2 linked regions of the Ovis aries genome follow. The protein of the gene in region 1 interacts with the protein of each later gene in a biochemical or structural test. Links are inferred from orthologs where the notes say so. Each region holds a gene or a part of one and is shown in the gene's direction. Other genes may lie near its edges.

What was found.
Region 2: the proteins of LRP2 (region 1) and clusterin form a complex in vitro, tested with the Homo sapiens proteins (3 studies listed by BioGRID). The link is inferred for Ovis aries from reciprocal best matches to the Homo sapiens genes LRP2 and CLU.

Annotation. Positions count from the first base shown.
Region 1 is NC_056055.1:140,214,584-140,218,399, forward strand, and holds part of LRP2 (low-density lipoprotein receptor-related protein 2), read left to right. Parts: intron 1-827; coding exon 828-1,114; intron 1,115-2,066; coding exon 2,067-2,270; intron 2,271-2,845; coding exon 2,846-3,085; intron 3,086-3,816. UniProt on the Homo sapiens protein: Multiligand endocytic receptor. Acts together with CUBN to mediate endocytosis of high-density lipoproteins. Mediates receptor-mediated uptake of polybasic drugs such as aprotinin, aminoglycosides and polymyxin B.
Region 2 is NC_056055.1:102,027,499-102,031,314, reverse strand, and holds part of clusterin, read left to right. Parts: 5' UTR 1-193; intron 194-1,288; 5' UTR 1,289-1,326; coding exon 1,327-1,405; intron 1,406-2,683; coding exon 2,684-2,832; intron 2,833-3,816.

The DNA of each region.
Region 1 (3,816 bases):
AAATGAATGACTTTAAATGTACACTGATAGTAACTTTTCTCTGGGTTTTAACATTCAGTGTCTTGTGAAAGCATTTTCCTTCAGTCTTTGTCTTTTGATCATCTTCTCAAAAAACAAATTATTTCTTGTGCCAGCTTCTTCTCAGTCCATTTCACAATATTTTCTTTATAAACTTCTGTCAGCTCTAATTTTTGCATATAACTCCCCAATCACTTCTGAAATTACACATATTCCCATCATCCTAATGATTGAAGATATGAGATGATTTTGTTTATTATGGCTGTTATCTGCATGTTGGGAATCTTAAACTTTCCTTGCTTATTTTCTTATGATTTTGGTCTCATGATGCTGAGCACCTAAGAATTTTATTTTCTCACTTGAAATAAAGCAGGGATGTTTTGTGTCAAAATTAGGAAGATATCTCAAAGTTAATGACAAATGGAAAAACTTATTAAGCGGGTGGGAAGGGAAAAGTAATTCACGTTTTATTGAGTGACTACTATGTGCCAGACACCAAGACAGGTATTATTTCCAAGCAAGAGGTGTATTATTTCACAATACTCCCCACTGTTCTTTTCTTTTTCCTGTTTCATTTAGTAGGATTACTTGTGGATTATATTAATATTTGGATATAATTTATATAGGCCATTGTTTAATAAGGAGATGAAGTTCTCCCATTACCAGAAGAAACATTTCTTGCTGCCATACGGTCCACTTGAAAGGAAAGTTGGAGGCTTGTGTAATTGCGCTGAGGCATTGGGTGCCAGTTGAGGACCTTAATCCTTCTGGAGTCTAATATTTTTTTTCTTTTTCCATCTTCATTTTAGGGAGAAGATTGAGCGCATGGATCTAGAGCGCTATCTGCGGGAGGTCATTGTCAGCAGAGCCAACAGTCCTTTTGGCTTGGCTCTTTATGGCCAGTATATTTACTGGACTGACATGCTCACTCAGAAAATTTATCGAGCTAACAAAGTTGATGGGTCAGATCAGACTGCAGTGACCATGACCCTTCCCTTTCGGCCTAAGGGTATTTGTGCTGTTGTGAAGGGCCAACAACAATGTCAAAGTCCTTGTGATCGGTTTAATGGGGGCTGTAGCCATATTTGTGCACCAGGTAAATACTTTGGCCACCTCTTGCAAAGAGTTGACTCATTGGAAAAGACCCTGATGCTGGGAGGGATTGGGGGCAGGAGGAGAAGGAGACGACAGAGGATGAAATGGCTGGATGGCATCACTGACTGGATGCACATGAGTTTGGGTGAACTCTGGGAGTTGGTGATGGACAGGGAGGCCTGGCATGCTGCAATTCGTGGGGTTGCAAAGAGTCAGACACGACTGAGCAACTGAACTGAACTGAACCGAACCGAAGGCACTGGGCACAAAGATAGAATCATGGAGAGTGATAATAATGATGACCACTAGTAAGGAAGGCTGAGGGAATATTCAGCTCCAGCACGAACAAAGATTCTCTTTGTTTTCAGAGGAATTTCTAAAATAGATTTCAGGGTTTGTATGTTGAGAAGAAGACTGAAGGTTTTTTTTTTTCTTTCCTATTCCATATGGAGCCTTCTTACAATGACATTTTTAAATTAAGCTTGATGGAGGTAGAAAGAAATATGCAGGTTTGGCTGCTGCATATCATGTCTTGAATAGAAATTTCATCAATGAACTAATGTTCCTCATTAAAGGATTTAATACTTTCACTTAGGAGGTACTATTTATGGTTGAATAAACAGAGTGTGCTTCAGAAGTGTGTTTTATAGAGAACAATAAATTCATAAGAGGATGTGCCTTTTGAGACTATTGCTGTGCAGATTTTGCTGAGAATCACTGTTAATGTTTCAGTGAAGATAAGAAATAGTGGTTTAAAGATTAGGGTGAATTAGCCACATTCATTAGAAATTGGTGGTTGTTCACATTGATGAAAACATAACATAGAGCAGAGTTTCCATGTTTTAGAGTGTGTTTAGTAATATAGAAGCTGTTGCCAGTGCTCTTCAGGGGGAGAAAATATCAGTGTTTGCTACAGAAATATTTTGCTTTTTTCTGGGCTTACCTTTCTTCAGGTCCAAATGGCCCTGAGTGCCAGTGTCCGCATGAGGGCCGCTGGTACCTGGCCAACAACAATAAGTACTGCATCCAGGATAACGGTACCCGGTGTGACAGTTCCAAGTTCACCTGCCTCAGTGGGAAGTGCATCCCTGACCAGCTGCAATGTAATGACATCGATGACTGCGGTGACAGCAGTGATGAGCTGGAAACTCTCTGCGGTGAGCTGGACTCTTGGAACTTTTGAAGTTCATGGTGTACCTTGTGGTTGTTCCTTTTACAAGCGAAGAACATGTACCCTGAGAATCTAGACTGCACTTTGCTTAAATCACGCAACAGCTGATATATGCGCTGTGAAGTAGTGTTCGATGCTTTATTAGGAAGCACCTCTGAAGTGCACCTAAGAAGGGGCAGAGATGCTGCATGCACGTCTGGGAAGCTCTGGGAAAATTACTTCACTTCTCTGAGCTTCAGTCCCATGAAAGCATTGTGTTTGCATGCTTTCATGAAGCTGAGATAAACTTATACATTGAGATGGTGGAGGAATGGAGTGACTTTGCCATTTGCATCAAATCCTCCATTTGCTTAAAAAAAAAGTATACAACATATTTGCTTAATTTAACTAATTTAAAGTTTGAGCTCACTTTGCATGCAGTACATGTGGCAGCTTTTGCCTCGGAAGGTCAACCCAAAGTGTCTTATTTTACTTGATTGTATCTTTTTAGAAAATGGGATGATGCTTTCATCTGCGAGCTTCTTCAATGTTGTTTTAAATATTTTGTTCCCCTCCTCTTAGCGTTTCACAGCTGCCCTTCGACAAGCTTCACCTGTGCCAATGGGCGATGTGTCCCATACAGTGATCGCTGTGATCACTACAATGACTGTGGCGACAACAGTGATGAGGCTGGCTGCCGTTTCAGGGCTTGTAACAAAACAGAATTTACTTGCAGTAACGGAAGGTGCATCCTTTCTGAATTAGTCTGCGACGGGATAGACAACTGCCACGATGGCAATGCTTCAGATGAGAAAAATTGCTGTAAGTTCATCTTACGTTCTTAATGGGCTTTGGAGCCTTGAACTCTCAGAGCCTGGGAGATGTAAAGACGATGCCTTTCTGATAAAAAAACTGACAGTATTTGTCTAAAACGTGCATTTCATTTTACATGCCTACTAGTGATTTTTAAAAATAATTCGACCTAATATTTGATTTATTCATACAATCTTTGACTACTTTCCCCTTCTATATTTTATCTTTGGTTTGTGTTTCTGATTATTGTGAAGCTTTACCAATGATTACTGACAAAATTAATTGATTAATGTGTGTGGTTAATGTTTGTTATGCACAAAGCTGTGTAGCACAGTGTTGACTGAAATGATTTGGTAAATTGCTTTTTAGTGAGTTGCTTTTCCCAGATTTCCGGAACTTACAGTTTAGCATCTTGAGAAAACAGTAGCACAGAGTATGAGCAAAAATGCATTTTCATTTCGGGTACATCGACATGCTCTTCTGTCTTTGTATGTGGTTATACACAATATTTATTTGGGTGTGGCAGTATTATTGCCTGGATAATCCTATAGACAGAGGAGCCTGGTGGGCTACAGTCCATGGGGTCACAAAGATCCAGACATGACTGGATGACATCCAGAGCATGCACCCATGCTTTTTTGTTGTTCTTTTTTTTAACAAGTGGTCAATATGTTTCATCCATGTCCTCCAACTTTTCCCCTGAGTATTTTAAAGCAACTTCCAGAAACACATGTCAATGA
Region 2 (3,816 bases), about 38 Mb from region 1:
GGTCAATGACCCGCTCTCCTCTCCCACGCTGCTCAGGGACCACAGCCCAGCTGCGTTACTAATTGCATCTCAGAAGAGACTTGCCTTATTCATGTTCTCCCAGGGTCTCAGCCTACGGAGCTGAGAGCAGCTTTGGAGTGAGCGTCATTCCAGGAAGGGGAGAGCCCCTTCCCGTTCTTGTTAGGGGAAGCGGGTGAGTTCAGATGATAAGTTGCGGGGAGGGGTGCAGCGGGAGGGATGCGGGGGGAGGGGTTTCTGTTTTGCAACAACTTCAGCTTTGGGGAAAGGATCCATTGTGTAAGACCAGCTGGTCCAGGGTTCAGGCAGCCAGCCGAGTGTGGTGGAAGGACCTTGGCAGACGCGCTGTGGTGTGTTAAGAGAGACCAGCTGAGTGAAAGGGACCTGGCAGAGCAGAGAGGCTCTCCTCCCAGCAGGACTTCTTTTGGGGAGGCTCCTTGCCCTCGCCCCTGCCGACGCCACATCCCCCTCCCCAATCCTTTGGCTTTGCCCCTCCCTTGCTATGCTCCCTGGAGACCACTGTCCTCGCCTTGCTCCACTCTCATCCACACCTCCTGCCTCAAGTCTCACGCTGGTGATGACAAATGGATTTATTTTCCTGTGCCAACCCAGAGGGTCTGAGGCTGTCAGTGCCTCAGGCCCTCAAAACAGCCTCAGACCCTCGAAAAGCACTTTCAGGAGGTGTCGAGACATGGCTGGGGACAGTGCTGTGATCGACTGGTGATGCCTGCTGCGGGCAGGCTTGGTGATGTCAACAGCAGGGAGCTGGCTGCACTCTGGGCTGCAGTCCCCACGTTAGGGGGATGGAATAGGCCGGATGAGTGACCCAGGAGAGGTGTGTTCAGAGTTGAATTTGGTGTGAGCAGGTATCATCAGATGGATGTCCTCTCTGGATGCAGATGGTTCCTGTGCCTTTTTCGGGCACAGTCAGCTATGATGAGAAGAGGAGGAGGAGGGGGAGGAACAGGCGGAGGGTAGCTTGGACCTGAGTCCGGTGGTTCTGACTCCAGATCCTCGTTTCGTCTGTATGAGGCTGCTTTCCTGCGGTTCTTCCCGGTACCCGCTGCCTCCCACTTTCTTTTGAAAGTGCCCATTGGCAAGACTGATCCTTTCCTGTCCAGTCCCTGGGATAAAAAGGTGTTAATGCAAGTAAGGGCATAGCGGAGGGCCAGGCCTCAGCAGGGCTCCAGGAGAGCAGGCGGCAGGCTGGGCCGGAGACCAGCGGGCTGTCTAGCTGTTGCCATGACAGTTCCCTGTTCTCTACAAACAGAGGCGTGCTGGGATTCCAGAAGTGGAGAAGGAGGCAAGATGAAGACTCTACTGCTCTTGGTGGGGCTGCTGCTCAGCTGGGAGAGTGGCCGGGCAATCTCGGACAAAGAGCTCCAGGGTAAGTGACCAGGCCCCCAGGGGTCAGAGACCATTTCCGCCCTGTTCATCGGATCTGGTTTGCTCTGCTCAGGCCCCTCTCTGAGCCCTCTGTCGCCAGCCCAGGCTCCTGGTGGTCAAGTTGTCTTCCAGGCACTTTCAGGTGGAACCCAAGCCCTTTCTGACTGCTGCGTCTCCTTCAGCTGTTCCCTTCCCAGGCTGCTTGGCCCAGCGCCCACACTTCCCCCATGACGCTCCCTGAAGCCTGGACCACTGGGGCCTCTGTGGACTTCCCTTTGAGTTTCCATAAAGCTCACTACCTGTATCTGCCACCTTGCCACCTAGAAAACCAATGCTCTGGATTCAGGAAAGAGGAAATATCATTTACTAGGAGGGCTTGTCATCCTTCAAAGCCCAGCTTTTGCTTCCCCTCTTCTGCTAGGTCCTTCCTGACACCTGTCTTCCCTCTGCTTCACTCTCGTCCTGTGAGCTGACCAGCTCTCCGGGGTAGTAGTTAGAAACCCTAATGCTGAGATCAGAGGTGGGTGGGAATCTGTCTCTGCCCTCCCCAGCTGTTATAACCCTGGGTGAGTATCTTGACCTCACTATGATTCTTCATCCTCATTTGTGCAGTGGGGTGAAGGCAATGTTGAGAGTCTTAAATAAATTGCATGTGAAGCGTCCAGTGTGGTGCTTGGCCCAGGATAAGCACCAGAGAAGCATGGGCTGTTACTTTCAGTACCTTGGTGACATTATCTCATTGTATTTGTCACACGATGTGGTGTCTGATCACCGTCTCACCTCCGTGTCCCTGTCACCTGATACCATCCGTCAGAACACAGATGAAATTCAGATGTTTGCTTAAACTGCATTCCAGAAGAAATTGTATCCAAAAGGATACTATTTTATATTTTGATGCTTAAACAATTACGCTTCCAGGATTTTTTTTTTCCTTGAAAATTTTCTTCTGCAGCTGGTTAGGCTGCTCTTCCAGCGTCCCAGGAGAACACTGGGTTATTCCTCCTCTGGGGTGTGTCTGCTCCAGTGTTCGCATTTCTGAGCAGCTGGCTGTAATTGATTCTCAGGCCCTGGGTCTTCGGTGTGCCCTGGAGATGGAACCGGGCATGGAACCCGGGTCAGGGTGAAGTTGGGACCCTGAAGGCTGCCTGCCAAGGAGACCCCAGCCATGGCAGCCCCTAGACCCCCTGGCCTTTCAGACCCTTTAAACTGGTTCCAGGGTTGTATTCCCAGCACCATCCCTTCCTCTCACATCATCCACCTGCCTGCCCTTTTCCTGCAGAAATGTCCACTGAGGGGAGTAAGTACGTGAATAAAGAAATTAAAAATGCCCTCAAGGAGGTGAAACAGATAAAGACCCAAATAGAACAAACCAATGAAGAGCGCAAATTACTGCTCAGTTCCCTAGAGGAAGCCAAGAAGAAGAAAGAGGTAAGGAAGAGCCGAGCTGCCCCCACCTTGATCCTCTGTGCTGGAGGGAGGGCATGGGGAAGCCCTGCCAGGTTGCCATGGTGACCCTCTGTCTTTCCTTCCCGGCTGTGTCAGCTGATATCCAGGGCTAACAAATAGGGAAGGTTTATTTGCTTTTGAAAGCTTCAAGGGGTGAGATTTTGGATCTGGTTTCGTTTCAAGCCTGGCCTAGGGCCTGCTGCCCAGATTCATTTCAGTAGATTTTTCTAAACCCCGATTGTGTGCAAGCTCCAAGGTCGGCTTTGGGTAGGGTCTGTCATTGTCACAGGTTAGGAGGTGGATGTCACCCTTCCTTCAGGAAGCTTAATCTAGTGTGAGTCATGCCTTTGGGGTACAGCAGGTACACACTATTGCTCACATCTGAGTTCTGGACTACTTTGTGAAGAGACATCTAGGTCCGCTGGTGAACACTCAAAACTAAACTACTGTTGTTCAATAAACAGCTTATTTGTGCGGTGCTAAGTCGCTTCAGTTGTGTCCAACCCTTTGAGACCCCATGTACTGTAGCCTACCAGGCCCCTCTGTTCCTGGGATTTTCCAGGCAAGAATACTGGAGTGGGTTGCCATTTCCTCCTCCAGGGGAATCTTTCTGACCCAGGGATCGAACCTGCTTCTCTTCAGTGTCTTCTGCATTGGCAGGCGGGTTCTTTACAACTAGTGCCACCTGGGAAGCCCAGCTTATTTGAAAAATAAATAGTCTCCTTGAAGATATCCTCAAATTCTACTCCTGTTGCTACCCTAACCCAATGACAGAAATGCTGAAATGGGCCCTATGGTCCCTAATGCATGGAGTGAAATCATTATAAAGACTCAGAGAAGTTCTGCAGTAAAGGAGCATATGTGACTTCATTCAGCCCAAGTGCTTTCCAAATCCAATTGACCAGGGAATCCATTAATTTTTTTCCTGATAACTTGTAGCACAAGTTCATGGAAGCCACTCACAGA